Drosophila melanogaster: one gene and its partners. The protein of the gene in region 2 interacts with the protein of the main gene of each other region in a pairwise test. Each region holds a gene or a part of one and is shown on either strand. Other genes may lie near its edges.

What was found.
Region 1: the proteins of Boh1 (region 2) and BuGZ interact in a two-hybrid assay, tested with the Drosophila melanogaster proteins (one large-scale study listed by BioGRID).
Region 3: the proteins of Boh1 (region 2) and dmrt11E interact in a two-hybrid assay, tested with the Drosophila melanogaster proteins (one large-scale study listed by BioGRID).
Region 4: the proteins of Boh1 (region 2) and CG34404 interact in a two-hybrid assay, tested with the Drosophila melanogaster proteins (one large-scale study listed by BioGRID).

Annotation. Positions count from the first base shown.
Region 1 is NT_033779.5:16,741,582-16,746,430, reverse strand, and holds the start of BuGZ (Bub3 interacting GLEBS and zinc finger domain protein), read right to left. Parts: upstream 3,027-4,849; 5' UTR 2,902-3,026; coding exon 2,867-2,901; coding exon of another isoform or gene 2,861-2,866; intron 2,672-2,860; coding exon 2,364-2,671; intron 2,308-2,363; coding exon 2,046-2,307; intron 1,742-2,045; coding exon 1,324-1,741; coding exon of another isoform or gene 1,279-1,323; exon of another isoform or gene 866-1,278; intron 205-865; coding exon 1-204. Other genes in the region: LSm7 (uncharacterized protein), read left to right, coding at 3,371-3,385, 3,445-3,762; ChLD3 (chitin and LDLR binding deacetylase 3), read right to left, coding at 4,206-4,484, 4,543-4,849.
Region 2 is NT_033777.3:27,917,645-27,921,102, reverse strand, and holds Boh1 (buddy of Hmr 1), read left to right. Parts: upstream 1-1,642; 5' UTR 1,643-1,819; coding exon 1,820-2,845; 3' UTR 2,846-2,919; downstream 2,920-3,458. Other genes in the region: CG12259 (uncharacterized protein), read left to right, coding at 109-1,188; mRpS22 (mitochondrial ribosomal protein S22), read right to left, coding at 2,920-3,458.
Region 3 is NC_004354.4:13,366,203-13,370,972, reverse strand, and holds dmrt11E (doublesex-Mab related 11E), read right to left. Parts: upstream 2,783-4,770; 5' UTR 2,774-2,782; coding exon 2,723-2,773; intron 2,481-2,722; coding exon 1,733-2,480; intron 975-1,732; coding exon 640-974; 3' UTR 501-639; downstream 1-500. Other genes in the region: CG1640 (uncharacterized protein), read right to left, coding at 171-186.
Region 4 is NT_033777.3:15,363,416-15,369,663, forward strand, and holds CG34404 (uncharacterized protein), read right to left. Parts: upstream 4,251-6,248; 5' UTR 4,020-4,250; coding exon 3,732-4,019; intron 3,408-3,731; exon of another isoform or gene 3,384-3,407; coding exon of another isoform or gene 3,249-3,383; exon of another isoform or gene 3,182-3,248; coding exon 2,932-3,181; intron 2,875-2,931; coding exon 2,545-2,874; intron 2,490-2,544; coding exon 2,356-2,489; intron 2,294-2,355; coding exon 1,992-2,293; intron 1,931-1,991; coding exon 1,220-1,930; intron 1,162-1,219; coding exon 1,029-1,161; 3' UTR 518-1,028; downstream 1-517. Other genes in the region: CG6171 (uncharacterized protein), read right to left, coding at 1-353; CG14868 (uncharacterized protein), read right to left, coding at 4,521-5,091, 5,148-5,286, 5,345-5,432, 5,491-5,598, 5,651-6,235.

The DNA of each region.
Region 1 (4,849 bases), on a different chromosome or scaffold from region 2:
CTGCTGTTGCACAGCGGCTTGCTGTTGCTGCTGAGCCGCCTGTTGCTGCTGTACTGCCTGCTGCTGTGCTGCCACAGCGTGTGCCACATGCGCGGCTTGCACCTGAGCTTGGACCACGGCCTGGGCTTGCGCTTGGGCCTGCACCTGGGCAGCATGTGCGTGTGCGTGTGCCTGCGCCTGTGCCACGGCAACTAGAGCGGCGTTCTGTAAGAAAATGTTTGGAATCGATTGAATTTATCTCACTTGCCACTGGGAGGGTGTAGTTTCGGGGTCAACCCAAAAAAAATGTATCCTGACTGAGTCAGGTCTCTATGTACCTATCGTGGTAACAAAAAAATTTGCTTAAGGGTTTCAAAAAAACGGGGCTGAACCCCAAATGAAAAAATAGAATTGCAGATTGTAAGCTGCTGAAGTAACAAAAATTGACGAACAAAAATTACTAGATCATATCAAGAATTAAAGTAATCATCTAATTTAAGATTCCCTATTTAAAAATGAGTTTTTAGCCTGCGCTTGATGTAAAAAACGCTTCCTAAGCGTGTATGGAACCGACTACATAGATTTCTAAAACATACTAAGCAAGCTGGCTTCAAACCTGCCCCTATGATCCAATTAAATCAGCCCACCCGCTATAAAGAATTTCACTATTTATCAGTGGGCATGTGAATTGCATTTCAGCTGCTTCCGCTTTACCTTTAAGATACAAAACTAGCACATGTGTTGGCATATCACATTGATGGAGATTACTTTTAGGGCCAAGACAATGCGAAACCTTGCTTTTCCCTTCTATCGAGTTCTCTATGTGTTGAGGTAAAATGTTTTAAATCAAATTAATTAAATTGAAAACCGCCGTTTCATTTGTTTTGTTGCCATTAATTTTTTTTAATTAAAAATTGTACAGACATATATCATACTATATGCTAAAAAAAGTTTTCTTTTCTTTTTAATGTTGTTTCGTATTGTGTGATTCTCGTAATCTGTTTGCTCTCGTACGCTGTGGTCGTCTAAACGTAACTTCCGCTGTCGCAATTTGCGATCTGCGCAGAGTAAATGTATAAAAGTGTCCAGTTTGGAAAAATGGAATTCTGTTAGAATGCTGAATGCATTCTCTTAAAATGCAGTCGAAATTGGGTCAGGTTTTTTTATGTGCAATTACATTTATTCTTTCATTATTTTTCTTTTTTTGGAGGAAATTGTCTTTTTTACACGTCCTCGTTTCAGTCCGTTGTGCTTGTCATTTCCTGTTAATCAGTGGAAGTCGTTTCCGTCACGGTCTGTTTATTTATATTGACTATGGTTTCTATAACTATGATAAGAACTCACTTCCTGGGCCTTCGACATGGCTGCGGAGACGACAATCGAGTTAGCCATGCCACTGCTGCTATTGCTACCCGTGGGCGAGATCCCGGCCAGCGACGGGGGCGGCGGAGTGGTGGGAATCGACGTAGAGGGGCCACCATTGTTGCTGGGACTCTTGCGACTTTGTGGATTCGCCAGTGAAGCCAAAGCGGCCGCCAACCGTGCTTGTATTTTCGGTTGGCGCGCGCGCAATTCTTCCAGACTCAGGTCCTCCTGTGGATGCATAATCTTTGTGGTCACAGCAGCAGCGGAAGTTCCGCTTGCCGCCGGTGGAGCTGGAGGTCGCTGCTGGTGTTGCTGAGCATCTGGCGGACCACTTGGTGGTGCGCTGGATGCGCCACCAGCATGATTGGTGGTAGGCGGAGCACTTATGGTAGCATTACTTTAGCAAAAAGAAGAAATAATTGATTTACGTTAGTTAAAAACAAATTCTTAGGATTAAGCCTAATAATAAGTCATTTGACTTGCTTCACAACTATGTTTAATAGGGGAAAACCATTAAAAATGTGCCAATGTGAACAATTATTTGGAGTAGAAAGTATTTCACCTAAAATACCCCCAAAACTGAATTTACATACGAATCGTTTAAAAAAAAAAGATTATTAACAGGGCTCTACGTCTAACTGCTAGCTTTAGAAAAAAAAATTGGAAGGATTCTTATATGGTCTTCCCCTAACGATGCTAACCTGTACGCTGGAAATGTTGGCTTTTGTTGAGCCATGGCGGCGGCGTGGTGATGATGGGCCGCCGCCGCAGCAGCTGCCGCCGATGTTGTGGCCATGGCGGCTGGAAACAAAGGACGCGGAGGCATCATGTGCGGCATCATGGGCACTGGATACGGAGGCAGTGGCGGCATGTGCTGCATCATGCCCATGCCGTACTGCCCCAGCATGTGCGGTGGCATCATGTTCGGGGGCATCATCATAGGCGGCGGTACACTCATGGCATCTGCAATGAATGTTGTATAGCGATTTTGTATACAATACAGTTTGCTGATCACTTACATTCTACTTTCTTTTTGGCCACCGGTTCATCATCGTCCGAATCAGACTTGCCACCATTCTTCTGACGTTCGTGATCCCTGAGATCCTCGGCGGGAATGCCGTCCATGCCAAAGATTTCGACTTCAATATTTGAGCGATTGGGCAGCGAGTTGGGGACCTTGTCCACCGTTTCCTTGTGCACCTGCATGCAGTGTATGGATAGTCCGGGTCCGGTGTACAACTTCTTGTGGCAGATGTGGCATTTGAAGTGCTTGGCCTTCTGGTGCTGCACAAGGATCTTTTCGTCATCGAACTCACGGTTGCAGTACCTAGTTTTTTGCGTTAAGAGTTAAGGAAAATTCACGGGGATGCGGCGTTGTAGCCAGTATGCATATACATGTGTGTGTGTATCTACCCCCAACCCAATACCATTATATAAATGTGTGTGTATGTGCAGATACAGCGAGCGGCACATGCAGTGAAAAAATATTTATATCTTTGTTTTGCGAAAAGGATACCAGCACCAGGGTTTGGAGGCCTTCTTCTTCTTGCGTCCCATGATCCTAAGGTGGCTTTAAAACACTTAAATGTACAAAATCGATCCGGTAATTGGTAGAAGATAACAATCTGTTGTACTAAAAATTGCTCTGTCGTGGAAAACAAAATGGAGAGCCAGTCAGAGTGACCAGCATATCGATACAAATAAATGAATCTTATCGATATCTTAAACCAATATAATAATTATTATACAAATAAATTGATATGTTCGCCTCAATAGCAAAAGGTAAGAAAATAATTTCACAATGATGACAGTAGAAATAAGAGAACTTTGTTGTCATATTTTTCAAATAACATTAATTCTTACATATGTTTATTCCATTATTATCGATTATGTACCTCAAAAAGCGCGGCCCATAAGATTACTTCACCAGCGCCATCTGCTGGCTAGTAGCGCCTTATTTGGTGTATTTCTAAAAAAATATGCTTTGGTCACTCTTTACCAGCCGGCATTTACCAAAAACAGAATAATGGCAGATAAAAAGGTAAATTAAATAGAATAACTACATTGTGGTGCTTAATCATCAAAATCGTGACTTGTCAGGTGGGTGGCAACAATGACGGTAAGGAGAAGCGCCGCAAGGAGTCCATTCTGGACCTCTCCAAGTACTTGGAGAAACAGATCCGCGTGAAATTCGCGGGCGGCCGCGAGGCATCCGGAATCCTCAAGGGCTACGATGCGCTGCTCAATCTGGTGCTGGACAACACGGTGGAGTATCTGCGCGACTCGGATGAGCCCTACAAACTGACCGAGGAGCAGACCCGCAGCCTGGGACTGGTCGTCTGTCGCGGCACAGCCCTCGTCCTCATTTGTCCGCAAGACGGAGTCGAGAGCATCGCCAATCCGTTTATAACGCAATAGTCCAAGGTTTTGTGGCTGGGATGCGTTCCAGAATGTAGACTAAGTACAAAGCTCTTTTGGAAATCGGTTTAAATATATTTAGCGGAGACATACATACGTATAAATTAGTTCTTAAAATCTAATCAGGCCGCAAAGTACCACGTTTATGAGCCCGCGAAATTGTTTAAGCTTCTCCATAAAATTCAGAGTGTTCCGATTTTAAATTAATGCACTTTATCCTCTTCAGGTATGTTACGAAGTTATCTACGGGTTTGCTTACGGTCAGATTTTGAAAGCTGAATCATCTAAATATGCGTAATCCAATTTATAAATATTAATTTTTCTAAACAATTAAAACCTAAAATTGTATCAATCTTATCCAATTACTTATGGAACGCTCCAAACATTATGGATATATCAAAGCGCCTTGCGCAGAGCCCTATAGTGTCAAGCGGGCTATCACCTTAGTCCAAGCCGAACTCGTTGCGAATCCAGGGATACTGGGCAGGACACTCCATGCAAGTGTAGAAGAATCGATCCTCTTGCAGCACCCGACTACGCACCTTGCACACATTCGGCGTGTTGCAGACCTGCTCGTGGGGATCCAAGTCCTTCGGTTGGCAGTGCCAGGACTCGAATTGGTGCAGCTGGTTGCTGGGCGTGGGATGGCGCATCCACTGAATCGCCTGCTGGTTAGTCACGAAGAACACATCCGGCAGCTTTTGCAGATCGTCGAGGAATTTCTAAATGATCAGGAAGGAATGAAGATCTAGTATTATGGGTAACAATTCGAATATTCACCAGAAATGCATTCAGATAGTCGACTTTCTTGAACCAAGTCGAATGGAAATACAGGCCAAATGGTGCCCTATTGCTGAGGTAGTGCCTCTTGAAGTTGTGCGTGAGCATTCTGTACACATCCTCGCCGCTCAAATGCGGCGGACACGTGTCCACCATGCCGCACATATACTCGCCCACTTCCAGTTGGTTCATAACCAGCTCCCAAATGCCCGGATAACTCCTAGACGGGCAATTCTGATTTACGCCCGTGCAGCTGTGCGGCATCTTGTAGTCCAAGGTGTAGGGCCACAGAGGAGGATTCGAATGC
Region 2 (3,458 bases):
AATGGCATTTTTCAATGTTTCTGCTACGGTCACACCAATTGGATGTTTACAAATTTCGTTTACGAATTAAATAAAAAAAAATATAAATAAATACAGAAACAACTAAGGATGGCCCACTACAAAGGTGCCGCCAGCGAGGCGGGCCGTGCAGCCCAGCTGATGAAGAAGCGGGAGATCCAGCAGCAGGAGATCGAGTTTCGCAAGAAGAAGATCGAGGAGGAGCTCAAGCTGGACAAGATTGAGAACAAGTTTGCCACCCACTACGATGCCGTGGAGCAGCAGCTCAAGTCCTCGACCATTGGTCTGGTCACCCTCGACGAGATGAAGGCCAAGCAGGAGGATATAGTGCGGGAACGGGAGAAGAAGCTCGCCCAGAAGAAGGACGAAAAGGATCGGGAGAAGCAGCGCGCCCTGGAGGCCATTCAGGCGGAGAAGAACAAGCAGAAGCGGCAGATCCAGGCGCTGTCCTTCAACCTGGACGACGACGAGGAGGAGGAGGAGGAGGACGACGAGGATCACGATAAGAAACAGCTGAAGATTAAGCAGGAGGATCAGCCCAAGCCCAAGTGGACGGAGATCAAGGAAGACATTTTGCCCATAAAGAAGAAGAAGATATGCAAGAATCCTGACGTGGACACTTCCTTTCTGCCAGATCGCGAGCGCGAGGAGCAGGAGAACAGACTGCGCGAGCAGCTGCGTCAAGAATGGGTAATGCAGCAGGCGGAGCTGAAGGACGAGGACATCTCCATCACGTTCAGCTACTGGGATGGCTCCGGCCATCGGCGGAACGTGCTGATGAAGAAGGGCAACTCCATCTACCAGTTTCTGCAGAAGTGCCTGGAGCTGCTGCGCAAGGAGTTCATCGAACTGAAGACCGTAATGGCCGACCAGCTGATGTACGTCAAGGAGGATCTGATCCTGCCGCACCACTATTCCTTCTACGACTTTATCGTGACCAAGGCACGCGGCAAATCCGGCCCGCTCTTCCAGTTCGACGTCCACGACGATGTGCGCATGATAAGCGACGCCTCCGTGGAGAAGGAGGAGTCCCATGCCGGAAAGGTACTCCTCCGCTCCTGGTACGAGCGCAACAAGCACATCTTCCCAGCCAGCCGATGGGAGCCCTACGATCCCACCAAGTCCTACGACAAGTACACCATCAAGGACAAGGATAAGAGTAAAAAGTAGTGCTTAGGGCAGTTTCTGCCCGAATAATTGTACAATATAATAATGATTGATTTAATACATCAAAACAAACGAAAAATAACTACAATTTTTATTTGATTTTTCCACCAGATTTACAATCAGTTTAATTAAACTATTATAATAGGCATTGAATGAAATATAAAATATATAACAAATTTATGTTTGCTTAATACAATTTTGAATTCATTAGAAAATGTCATACTTCTCATAAGAATACCCCTAATTATTTAAAATGGCACTGTTAAGAGAACTTGTTGCTAAACAAATTTGGTAGAAATTTTAGTTTATAAACACAGTATAATCAGAGAACATGCAGTTATTCAGCACTTCGTATTGATTGCCATGAAAAAAGAACTGTTAGATTTATATTTTATTTTAATTTTTTAATATTCCAACTGTCATAATAGTCAAAAGAAGTCGGATATGGCGGGAAAAAAGCTAGCCCGCCAGCACCAATAGCAACATTGAATTTTTTGCGCCAGTAAAATTCGCGTCTTTTTATAAAAAGCAAGCGTAATTAATAACAAAAATAAAATAAGTTCCAAGTAAAATGTGAATTCATTTTTCGGATACGTATCGATTTAGTGCCATTTGAGAACCCCGAACCAACGAAATGTACCCGGCGCAACCGGCAAAGGTGGCGTTGGCCGGTCAACCGATATCCGCCGGAAAACCACCACGCCACAGCCCTGTTCAGATGAAGTCTATCCCTTTGCCCGTCTTCGAGCTGCCGGAATACGTGTGCGTGGAGACCAAGTGGGTGACACGCAAGTACGCGATAGAGAATGGCATTCCAGTGAAAGAACTGCATGCCCCGATCACCAATGGAGGCGCTACAGAGTCTCCCAAGAAATCCGTACAGCAGAAGAGACTCAACGAGGTCACTGGAATGTTTGCGAACGAGGCTATGGTGCCGCGCAGAGAGCGCGCCATTCAAACAGAGAATGCGGGCACTAAGGATGCGGGCATTCAATGCCGTCGCGATTCGGAGGAGTGGTATTTACCAGAGGAACGGCCAAAGGATACCGGTTCTGAGGCCTCCAATTCCGACAAATTTCTCACCTACGTGAGCGAGAACACATTCATATTTCCCAACGGCATGATGGAGTGCGCGGTGTGCGGCGATGTGGCCAAAACCTTGCTGGAGCACCAGAGCCACATGACCGCGCACTATGGACCTGGTGCTCTGTGCTTTCGCTGTGGTCAGCGTCTGGACCACCAGAAACAATTGAAGCAACACAGTCTGAGCTGTCCCGCTCTAGCGCCCAGGAAGTCATCGATGCTCTTTAAATGCCCACATCTACTCTGCAACGCCATGAGCCACTCAGAGATGCAGTTGCTCAGGCACCTGAGAAACCATAGCGGCAGGAAGTGCTACAGATGTCTTCAGTGCAAACGTTACTTCAAGACCACCACCTCTCTTTTGGTACACCGAAAAAAAGAACAGAGTTGTGCCAAGGCGAAAGTGGTCGTCCTATTTCGCGAACACAACGGGTTGCCCAATGGAAGAGGTGATCCCAGACGTTGCTCAGTTTGCTTGAAGCGTTTCAGCAGCGAGCGGGTATGCCTGCGGCACCGGAGACAGTGCATCCTTGGCCATTTTAGACGGCTGTCCAGGGTCCTCAAGAAGGAGCTATGAACAGCGTATAGAAATCTTGACCTAGCTGGTATTTATTAGTACATAGAAATCGATAACAATAAAGCGAATAGATCCTACGAAGCCTGGACGCCGTGAGCCTTTTTCAGTCCCTGGAACAGCATCAGTTTCTCCCGGTTAACTTCCTTAAGCGTCTGCACCGCCAGCTCCAGTTGCACCTTCTTCAGCGCATGTTCGCTGGCGATGTACTGCTCAATGAACTTCAGGCTGATCTCATCGGCGGCGAAATCGTGCTCCGTCTTGCCAATGGCCGTATGGATCTCCTGCTCAATGTTCTGCTTATTGTCATGTCGTCGGAAGACGCTTCTTAGCTCCGCCAGGGCACTTTCCGCCGGCGTGGCATGCAGTTTGCCCAGTTCGGTCAGCGTTGCCTGATACTCCACTGGGATGTTGTGTAGCTTGTAGCTCAGAGCAATCAGCTCCACGGCATTGTGCAGATAATCCCGACGGATCATGTCATACAGCAGGTCGTCGATGCAGCGGTGCCAAGCGTAGAAGAAGGCCATGGGTCCAAAGTGGCGGGTGGAGCGCAGAAGATCGAACTCCTTGGACTCGTTGAGATGCTCGAACACACGCGCTGAAATGTTGTGGAACT
Region 3 (4,770 bases), on a different chromosome or scaffold from region 2:
CAAACTTTCGATAGACGGCGATAGATCGATAGACCAGCGATTTGCACCAACACTGGAAAGCTCAGAGCATTCAAAAACAAACTAATGTGTTTTATAAATAGCTCTTTTTAAATATCGATTAATTGCGATCTTAACTAACTTTCGTTTATTTCTATTAATTATGAACTTACTTCTGTTTTTAAACATCTTTGCTCTTTGCTTGTTTTTCGTGTAAGGCTTTAAATTCACTTAAACAATTTTGCTGGCTTTGTGCGCATCTTCATATATCACTGAAATTGATTGTTATAGGAGTGTCCCATTGAATTAGTTTTGTGTCGATTCAATCCTGGCCCGAAAATGTATGAACAAGCTATGCCCTACATTTTACCCATAGTCTACTTAGGTTTGTTTATATAGTATTCTTTTCAAGTTCGTTATGATAGCTCTTAGAAAATAAGATTTCTGTGAATATCTCCTCCGTATAAAAGAATTTTTATCAATAGTTTGGTAAGCTTTTTTTTCTCTTCTACAAAACCTTTTCGCATGTTTTATTTCACTCGAAACTTATTGCTATTCAAAAAAATGGGTTTTCTAACGCTAGAATTATGTACAGAGTGCATTTGGAAAAAATGATGGGTAGTAAGCCCTAGAAAGCCATGGCTACGTGCTGATGCCCATGATGGATTCGATGGAGAAACTCAGCTTGGGCTTCTTGCCACTGCCGGTGGAGGCAGTGGTGACTGCGGGCGTGGTCATCGCTGGATTTGTGGGCGGGATCGTTAGCGGTATCGTCGGCGGCATCGGGTGATAAATGTGCTGCTCCTGATGAACGGGTGCGCAGGCGGCGGCGGCGGCGGCAACGGTGGCAAAGTACAAAGCGTTACCGCCCAGCGTCGCCTCCATGACATGGTTCAGTTCCGGATCGGCGAATGCCCGCCGTTTGCGCATGCGCTCCATCAATGGCGAGCTGAACGTGGGAAATCGCTGTTTGTATTCTGAAAGAGAACGAACCAAAAGGAATGGTTGAAATTAGTGAGGGTTTTGGTGGGGGCGTTATCACTACAAATTGCCGCGATTCGTTATGAATGGGTATTCCAAATTGAAACAATTTATTATTGGGTAATCCGAGACACGCGTCGCCTGACCAGACAGCCTGGCACCGTTTTTTTTTTTTTGTTTTTTTGTTTCAACTTCGGACCGGTTTCGGGATCTCCACTTATTCGGATGGAACCAGATGGAAAACCCAGAAAGAAGTCAATTGCTGTTGCCACATTTGGCTCTTTTTGTGAGTCGGATGGGTTTTTCCGTTTTTGGTCGCGTCTCAGCTTACCGAATGTGACTCCCCTCAAGTGATTGGAAAATGTGCGTACACTGCACACACACATTTCGAAGCATCCGATTTCAATTGTTTTTCGTCAGTCGAATAATTGCTGTTGTTATTGTTGGGCATCAGTCATTTCCTGTCCACGACCACGACCACGTCCATGGACAGAGGAAAAGAGACGGAAGATGGGCGGCGGGAGACAGGAGACTGGAGACCGGAGAGGATCTCCGATTACGAACGGACCAGACAGTCTGGCACCGTATGGGAAAGCGTGTGAGTAGGGAATGTACTTATCATTTCAGCTGTGTCGTCTACTTTACGACATCTAATAATTTCCAAATTGGAAAGTGTCTATTTGATTGCGGACTCATAGATAGATATCCTTTTTGATATGTACATAAATCCTTATTTATGTAGTCCCATACTAACCTTCCATGGCGGCTGTGATATGCAATGTGGATTGCTGCAAACTGCGTAGTCTCTGCTTGTAGATCCTCTTTTGGGCCATCAGAGCCTGTCGGGTGGCCGAGGATGAAGATGAGTTGCTAACGCAAGATGTGGGATGCGAATGCGAATGTGGATGTGAATGTGCCGGCGGTGGTGAAGTGGAGCTGAGGGAGTCCTCGCCCTCGCTGCTGCTGGAGTTGTTGGCACTGGCCGTTGTTACGCCCGTGGATTTTGTAGATGATGCGGTGGCCTCCAGAGCCTCCATGGTTTGCTGACGTCGCAGGGCCACCTGGGCGGCCATCACCCGCTGGCGATCGACGACCAGTTGGCAATTGGGGCAGCAGCATTCGCGCCAACGGCACAGACGCTTGTGACCCTTGACACAGGAGATGACGCCGTGATTGCGACACCTGGCGCACTTCGGCGTCCGCAGGAGACGTCGCTCCCGCTGGCAAATCCTAACACTGGCGTCCTTGCTCATCCTCGCTTGCTGATCGACTAAAAGGATGTGGAACGGGGCGCGAACATTTAAGCACTGGCAACCGCAGCTACTTGTCGCCGTCAGACTGTCTGGCAGCGTCAAGTGGTTTCCGTCGTCGTCGTCGTCGTTGTGTCCCCAGGGTATCCGACGCCCACGAGGTGTACTAGCATGAGGTACAACACAGCGAGCATGCAAGGGATCGGACTCGGGATCGGTTCCTTGCCTGCCATTGGCTGCTAATCGCTGGCTCTAAATATAGAAGATCCAATGGCCGCACAGATGTCTCGCATCAGCATGCAAAAGATACATTCGACTACAGGAGGAACTCATTGAAAGCGATTTCAAAGATTAGTAATATATACATATATAGCATATATATATAGGTTATGGATCACTTGCTTAATCAATTACTTGGGGCATCTTAAAGAATTTAAGAAGGTAAAAGTATCTGTGAATCTTCTATGGTTCTTTATAGGCATGTTTCACTATACCTTTCCAATCCGTACATCTTTGTTTGGACTCCGTGTTTCGTCAAAGTGCATATTGATTTCTGGCCTGTCTTCGTTTAATATCTTTATTCGTTTATTTGAGTCAATTTCGGTTTACGTGTATAACAATTTGTAGCATTCATTATCTTATATAGCACGTACACACATATATATATATGTATATATATATTTCCGTATAAATACAAATTCAACTCGAGTTTAGCCATATCGTTTCATTAGCTAATAGTACGTAAAAAAAAGAAAAAAAAATTCTCAGCGATTTATATACTAGAAGTTTTTAGGTGAAAGGACTTTCCATTTAATGCCTTTTAAATGCCTTCTTTATATATTTTTTGTGTAAATATATACATATATGCTTATATATACGGTGCAGCGCGTTTCACAAGTAACAATCTTTTAAATTTCGGAACAAATGATGGCCAACTGTTGGCGATTGTCAAATAATTTCGAATTCAGCCAGCTGTTTTTAATTAGGATATGTAATCGAACTTACCGCAAAAAGTTGTCAAATGGGAAATTGTGTTCTTCGAACCGAATGAATAAATGCTATTATCTCACTTCATACAATTGTGAAACGCACTGTCCCTCTGCATACATATATGTATTTTATATCCATTTAGTAAGTGTGATTCAAAAACGTTACTGAGTTCTATTAGAGGATTACATTGATTAAAGCTTGAGCTAGAAATGTGCCAGGTTTTCGATTCGATTGGTTGGTTGGTCAAAATGCAGGTGCGACTAGGAAAGTACTATTCGTGTATTCGAGTGCGTTCTATTATGGTCTCAGGATCATATACATTATGATCATCATATATTATAAGGTTGTAGCGGACAATCGGTTCATGTTAAAACGGGACCAACAACGAACTTTTGTTTAATGTTTGGTAATTATAATTACTTGTGTTTAACATGGAATCATATGGTAAATGCTTGCAAAGTTATTGTCCTTTACTGTTTAAAAAACGTTCTCTAAATTGAAATCTATGTGTGTATTAACGGTGCGTGTATATATATAACATTCGCTTAAAAAAGTTTTGATCCTTGAACCAACTAAATCTAAATTACAAAACACGCGGCCCTACAAAAAATTTGAACGAACACAAATCACAAAAGTACAAACATTACATATGGTACCTATATATCATCAATAATATTATTAGTATTATTATTAATATTTTATATCGACTATGGATTGTAGCTATCGTAAATACTTTGATTTCCTTCGATACGATTCTCCGCTCTTGACACAGACGCACTCTGAATTCACTTCGTTTGCTATTATATCATATCACAATGCTTAAAGGGCTCGCCGCTTCTCGATTCTCGATTATCGATTATCGGTTATCGAGTTTTGTTCTCGATTTCGATTTGGGCTTCAAATTCAACAACGTTTGATTGCCAAACGACGATCTATCTATAGAGTTCTAATATAACAGGCTCACTGGTCGCTAGGCTAAACCATACAGCTCGCGAAATAATTGTATTTCCATTGGCTTTATCAATGCTATCATTATTGATTTTACTCCATTACGATCTCTATCTATCAGTTTTCATTGGATTTACCCAACGAGAATGGAACTTAAAGTGGGAAATTTGAGCTGCCAAGTGGCAGATGATTTGAAATGGTAAAATAATATGAGAGCTCTGAAATGTAGCCAAGTAAGATAAACAGGCCCTTTTTGGGACACACATCTACAAATGTTCTGTTTCCATAAACAAGAATGGAAATAAATATGCTATATAGAAATAATATCTAATAGATAGATAATGCCAGTTTATGCAATTATTTCGCTCGCTGTATGCGACAAATTTCAACAAGTGTGTGGACTCTTTTGTTTTCGTTTTTCAGATCGAGGTTGCATCATCATATAAGATATACTCGGTTCAATAAAAATCGGTTCATAACAATTAGTGCGCTCAAATATGGGTAGCTAGGTTACTAGTTAAGTGGATCGTTTGTCCTTTGGTGCGGGTTTTTAGATTACATAATAATACTTCTGGTTGTGTGTGTGTTCGTAAGCAGTAGAAAA
Region 4 (6,248 bases), about 13 Mb from region 2:
CTGCTTGAAGATACGGTAGACTCGTCGGCGGCGTCCTGTGCATTGCTATTAGTGGGCTCGGTTTTTACCATCGCAGCTGCAGGTGAGTTTCCATTGTCCGCTGGTTCGGCTTTAATCTTGATCGCAGGAGTAGTGCTTGTGGGCTCATCTGCATTCTCCACTGGCTCAGCTTTTATTTTCATAGGAACTTCAGGATTTGTTTCATCTTTAATGGACGCCACAGGCTCCTCCGATTTTACGCGCTTTCTTAGGCCGTTTTCTGCGCCAAAATTTGCGTTGCAATTGTGTGTGATATCTTCAGAAGATTTTCGTTTAGCGCCACTATCGGCTGTAGATGCATCTGTGGCACTCATTTTAAGTAAATTAAGTTAAATTTTCAAAACATTTTTATTTCACAAGTACTCATATACTTGATTCTGGTGATTTGCAACACTACACGAAATGGTGATGGATGCTTAAGTTAGTTTCATTAGCTTATCGATTAATTATTGGAGCCAATTTCAAATTCGTGAATTTTATCGAGTTTTAGTAGACGTTTTATATTTTGTACAGTTTTAAATACATATTGAATCATATAACAAGCAAAATGCGAATACATTGTATAAATATAGGATCCCGTGTATGCGTCTTGAATAACTCCTTAGTTTGTCTATTCGTATGTGTGTATATGTAATTGCTTGTGGCCCATAGACGGATGCTCCAATCCCACGGATCTATGGATAGGTTGGTGGAGCCTTGCTCATGGCACCTCTGAATATGTATGTATTTGAGTATGTAGTTACTGCAGCCTTATCTGCGAGGCAGGGACACCGCCCAAGCCCCAGCCGACTGCAATTAAGTCGCATGGCACATTCGTGATACTGTCTTGGTCATGGCGGATCCACGGCGACTGCTGGGCGGGTGGTCATTGCATTAAAGGTAAAATAAGCGATATGATCGAGAGGGAAAGATCTTTTGCGGGATATGTGACAAGCGCGCCCGCTCCACGCCCAGTTGCTCAGTCCTCCTGGAAGGTCGTCATGCGTTTCCTACAGAGTAGTCTCAGGAACATGGTTATGGCCTTGCTCGTAGTCCAGCCGCAGGTCAACAATCTTCTGCTCTAGCTTCCTCACCCGCAGCTGGTACTTGCGCTTGGTGTGATCTAACATTTGGCCCAGATTGCTAAAAGGGAAATATGAAGAAATTATGTATGAAACAGTCAAAATAAAACGAATCTTACTGGTTGGATTTCTGCAGTTCACGCACGTTCTGATGCAGTTGCTCGTATTTTTCGTCGAAGGCCTTCTGCGAAGCTGTTACATTTGCCAATAGCGTCTGTATGCGACCCTTGAGCTCCGTTTCTCGAGTTAAGGCCTCCACCAACTGCTGCTCTGTGAGAGCCGCATGCTCCGCCTCCGAATACGAGACCCGGTTGTTTGCCTGTAGCTGCTTTAGGGCTTCGTGGAGTATGCCCACTCGTTCGTTGGCGTTCTGCCGTTCCTGCTCGGCCTCTTCCATTTTTGTCTTCAGCTGCAAATTCGAATCCCGCAGCTCGAGTATTTCTTGCATAATCACTGCTGTCTCCAAGTCAATGGGTGACTTCTTGTCCGCGCTCCGAAGTTCGTGCTCCTTTTCCAAAGCCAGGCGCTTTCTTTCGTATATGTCGCTGAAGGGTGATTCCAAACTGACAATGGTATGCTGGACATTGGAACGACGTCCCTTCAGCTTGGAGACGTGGTAACGCAGGCGGTTGTCGTCGTCGGCACACCACGGGCGGCCAGTTTTTGGGGCATCCTCTGGGCCCAGGTTGATGTTGTGTTGCCACGGTCCCAGGCTGTTCTCACAAACGTTTTTCTCGCTATCCAAACGGGCTAGCAGGTGCCTGGCCACCGCCTCCACCGATCGTCGACTCTCTTCCGCTGCCACTGATTTCTCCCCCAGCAGTGCCAACCTGGAAGTGATGAATTGTGAAATAGGGACAACAACCCGCGTCTTATGGTGATTGTACTTACTTGCTTTCGAGCAGAGCCAACATTACGTCGTAGGCCTCGATGGCGCGATCACTGCAATTAAGCGCCAACTGAAGAGCAACCGCATTGGACTCGTACTTTCCGCATAGCAGATACAGATGCTCAGTGTGCTCCTTGCATTCGTCTAGCGTCAGTGCCAGCATGGTGTTTCGCATCTCCAATTGTTCAACACGTCGTTGCAGTCGCTCCAAGTCTTTGCTCAAATGTAGGGGCTCCATAAAGTTCTCCATATATAGATTTTGCTCCTTTAGCTCCGACACCAAATGTTCGACCAGATTAATTTGCTTAAAATTATGGGTTGTATGGGTTGAAATGTATTCTCTGAATAAAGTTTTGGTCAACACACCTCGTTGCTCAATGAAGTATCTTGGGATGGATCTTCTCCGGATTCATGTTTGCTGGCGCACCGCAACTTAACCCGTTCAGCCATTTTCGGTACCGCTGGAATGCGTTTTTGCGGACTTGTCAAGGAAGTGCAAACTGAAAGCATCTAAATGTGTAACCATTCTTTTATCATCAGGATTATTTATATTACCATTCAAATCATTCAGTCGCTGTCCGCACTCGTTGACTTCCGATTCGCAGTCGAAGGCGACTTTGGTCTGTTCCTCGACCACAGCAGCATCCTTGGTGGAAATCTCGGACTGGAGGAGGGCGATTCGAGCTCTCAAGTGCAGAACTTCCTCCTGCAGTGCCTCCACTTGTCCCTTATGGCTCAGTTCCGGCGGTTTGTGGGCAACGTTACCCACGCTGGTGGTACTGCAGGCGCCCTCGAAGTCTTCCAGTGGTTCTGTTTGACATTCGGCATCAGGATTGGTGAGGTTAAGCTCGGAATTGTACACTGAACCCTCCTGAAAGCTGAGTTCTGAAAACAAGACTGTCGGTTAGGGGTTTGTTTCCCTCATTTGAAACTGCTACGCACCGCTGCCGTCGGGCTCCTGCTCCTCCATGATAACGTGGTCCTGCTTACTGCGCAATTTCTTGCTTAACTCGGCGATGACACAGTGCATCTCTGTGATGCGACACTCGTGGGCCTGGCTGACAACCTCCAAGCGCTTGTGGCATATTTCCCGCTCTGTGTTGCTCTCAGTGAGCTGTCTTTCCGCCTGCTGCAGACGCTGCGTTAGATCCCGCACCCGGTTTTCTAGCTGTTGTACCGACAGTTGCTCAACCTGGAGGTGAATCAAAAGAAAAGAGGCGGATTAGAGCTTTCTAAGTGGTTATTCTTGGGGTCATCACGTTTATGGGCCGTCTGGCCAGAGGATGAGCCATCAGCGTATACTCCCAACTGCGTCTCTTGTCGTTGGGCACCGATGGCGTATCGCTGCAGCACAGGCAGCTCAAGCTGCGCGGAAGCAGTTGCTCCGAAATCATGGTCCAGTGGAAAATTTTGACTGGCGATTACGTCGTCATCCGACCGCGGATGCATCCGCGCTCTCCGCCGCTGCAACTTGACCCTCAGCCTTCCACACGCATCTGCGCACTGGACGCCAACCGAATTTAAAGCCCGAAACACTTTGAAAACCAATGATTGAAAATTCTGCGTTTCTTATTTTAAACTACACAATAATGAGGTATTTTTAAATATTTTGTGATCATTTTAAAAATTAATTTAAAATGAACTTGATCATGTTTAGTACCAATGTATCATTGCAAATTAATATATTGATTTTTTTGATTTAAGATCTAGTTATTTCTCTCAGTGCGGGCATCATTACTCACTTTGTTGACAATGTCTAGCGTGGAGCAGCTGGATATGTTGTTGTCACTCTCGGTGGTGTCCCGCTGCGTGTGCTCCGGAGAGTCCAGGTCGGAGGATCCCACCAAGTGCCTGCCACCGGGTCCTCCACCGCGCGGCGAAATGCTACCGAAGACGTACTCGAAATCCTCGCCAGCCGCGCTGCCGGAGTGCTTGCCCTGGAATCCGCTGGAGTCACGCTGCTTGCCACTGCGACGCGGCACATCGGTAGCTATCTTGGCCACCCGGGCGACCTGCACATCATTCGACATGGTGGCAATGGGCGGCTGCAACGACTTTCCGACTAGAATTGGCCTGATTTGGGCCGCTTGATGATGACTTTTGATTGGTGCTCCATTCCCAGGATATGTGGCACTGGTGTTAACTCTACATGGCTCATTAAAAACTTTTCTTAAGGCATTTTTAATTCAAAAACTCGAAATTACTCCAACCAGTCGGGATATTTATTGCATTCTTATCAGAAAATGTATACCCAGAAATAAGAGTGTGTGAGAGTGTGTTTATGCTAACGGTATGCAACACTCCGCATATTATTTATCGATAACTTGGGCGCGTCTTTTAAAACTGTATGCTATAGTTATTGTACATATCCAGTTTCAACGCAATATCGATTGAATAAAGTGATTTATTTTATATAATCTGGTTTTATTGTACGCTGTTGCGGTAATATATATATGTATTATATCTTTTGTCAACACTGAGATATGGTTTCATCCATTTCTTTGGGAGTCCTCAATTGAACTAGTTTTTCTCTAAGGAATAGCCGCCAGATTCTCTGCTCGTATCGTCACCATAGCCTCGTAGTCCCGCATGTCCAGATCGTGAAGTGCTTTCTGGACCAGAGTGGCCAGGTGAGGCGGCAGGTCCTTCAGATCCTCCATACGTTCCCGTGCCACTGCACTGGATATTCGTGGCGTGCCGTTGCAGCGGCTGCTCAATCCACAGTTGCCCGAATCTGTTGTGGCGGATGAAGACTTTTGGAAGTCATCGGGCTGCACATCTGCACCGTACACAGACGAATCCACGGACTCCGTTGAAAGCGAGGACATTCCATCGTCGGAATGCAGAGCCTCAACGGACTTGTGCTTCTTTGAATCTTCATGATCCGCTGTAATGGCGACGCCTTCGTTATCTGGCTCAATGGACGGAGTGCTGCTGATGTCGGCGTCATCTACCATGGCGGCACAATAGCCATTGAGGAGCAGCTGCGAAGGCGCATAACCATATTCCACGTCCTCCTCCTGCTCCTCTGCGTTGTCATCGTTTCCGGAGAGGAGTTGTTGCCACCGCTGCTCCAGCTCCGTCATTTTGCCAGCCAGTATTCTGCAGGAAATATGGGTTTATGAAATATATATCAACTTTCAGCTGGATTTTCCTACTTGTTGGTCTTCTTTTGGTGCGTCAGGGCCAAGTTCTTGTCGTTGAGATTGTCCAGCAGGGCCAGACACAAGGATTTTAGATCGCTTAAGCTCTCGGTTTTCTGAGGCAGCTCAATGCCACTCTCGAGGATTGTTTTCACTAGGGTACAAACAAATTAGAAAGGCATGAAAGAGGTGGCCACCATATAATTACTCACCTTGCCGGGGGCTTAGAATGGTGTCCTCATTTGTGCTCCCACCGCCAAGTTTTACAATTCCCTTCTTTCGTTTTGCATCCAACATTGTCTGAATGATTTAAATATAAATAAATAAAATGGTAATAAGTCTTAACTAATACCAGTACCTTGTACTTATTGATGCTCTGTTTGGTGAGCTCCAGTTCGCTGTCTTGGATCTTCACACGTTCATGCAGGTACTTGTTCTCCAGCAAAACACCATCGATGTCCAGGAGCTGGAAAATCAATAACTATCAAGTAAGTACTATATAGCATCAGTTAACTCACCCTTGGATGCGTTTTCTTCGCCCTGAGGGCCACAAAGAGTTCATGATTTAGGCGGTGTGCCTTGCACTTGTAGGCATCCCGCTCGGTTATCAGCTCCTCCTTCTCATCGATCACCGCCTTCAGGTCGAAGGCCAGCTGGGCATTCCTTTTTTTGAGGCCCTCCAGGTGGCAGATAAAGTTTGCCCGCTCACGACGCCACTGCAGCTCCTCCTTGTTGCGAGCGGCATTCTCGCTGGCCATTGCCTGTACCCGCGACTTGTTGCTGGCCTCCGTCTCCCGGAGTAGTTCCATGTCGCCATGCAGCTCGTTGAGCCGCTGCCTCAGGGCTTCCACTTCGGTGCTGAGCTTTAGGTTCTGCTCGCGCGTCTCGTGGAGCAGGGCTGCCAGGCTGGAGTTCTCGCTGAGGGCTCCACATCCACCGACAGCCAGAAGTTCGCTATTACTCTTCAGCGCGGAGTAGCGCAGCTGCAGGGTCTCCGCCACCAGCTTGTACTGGTCTCGCTCCACGCGAAACTGTTCCAGCTCCTGGCGCAGGATTCGAAGTGCCTCCACCTTGCTTTGAAGTTTCCTGTGCACCGCCGAGGTCTGTAAGGGTGGG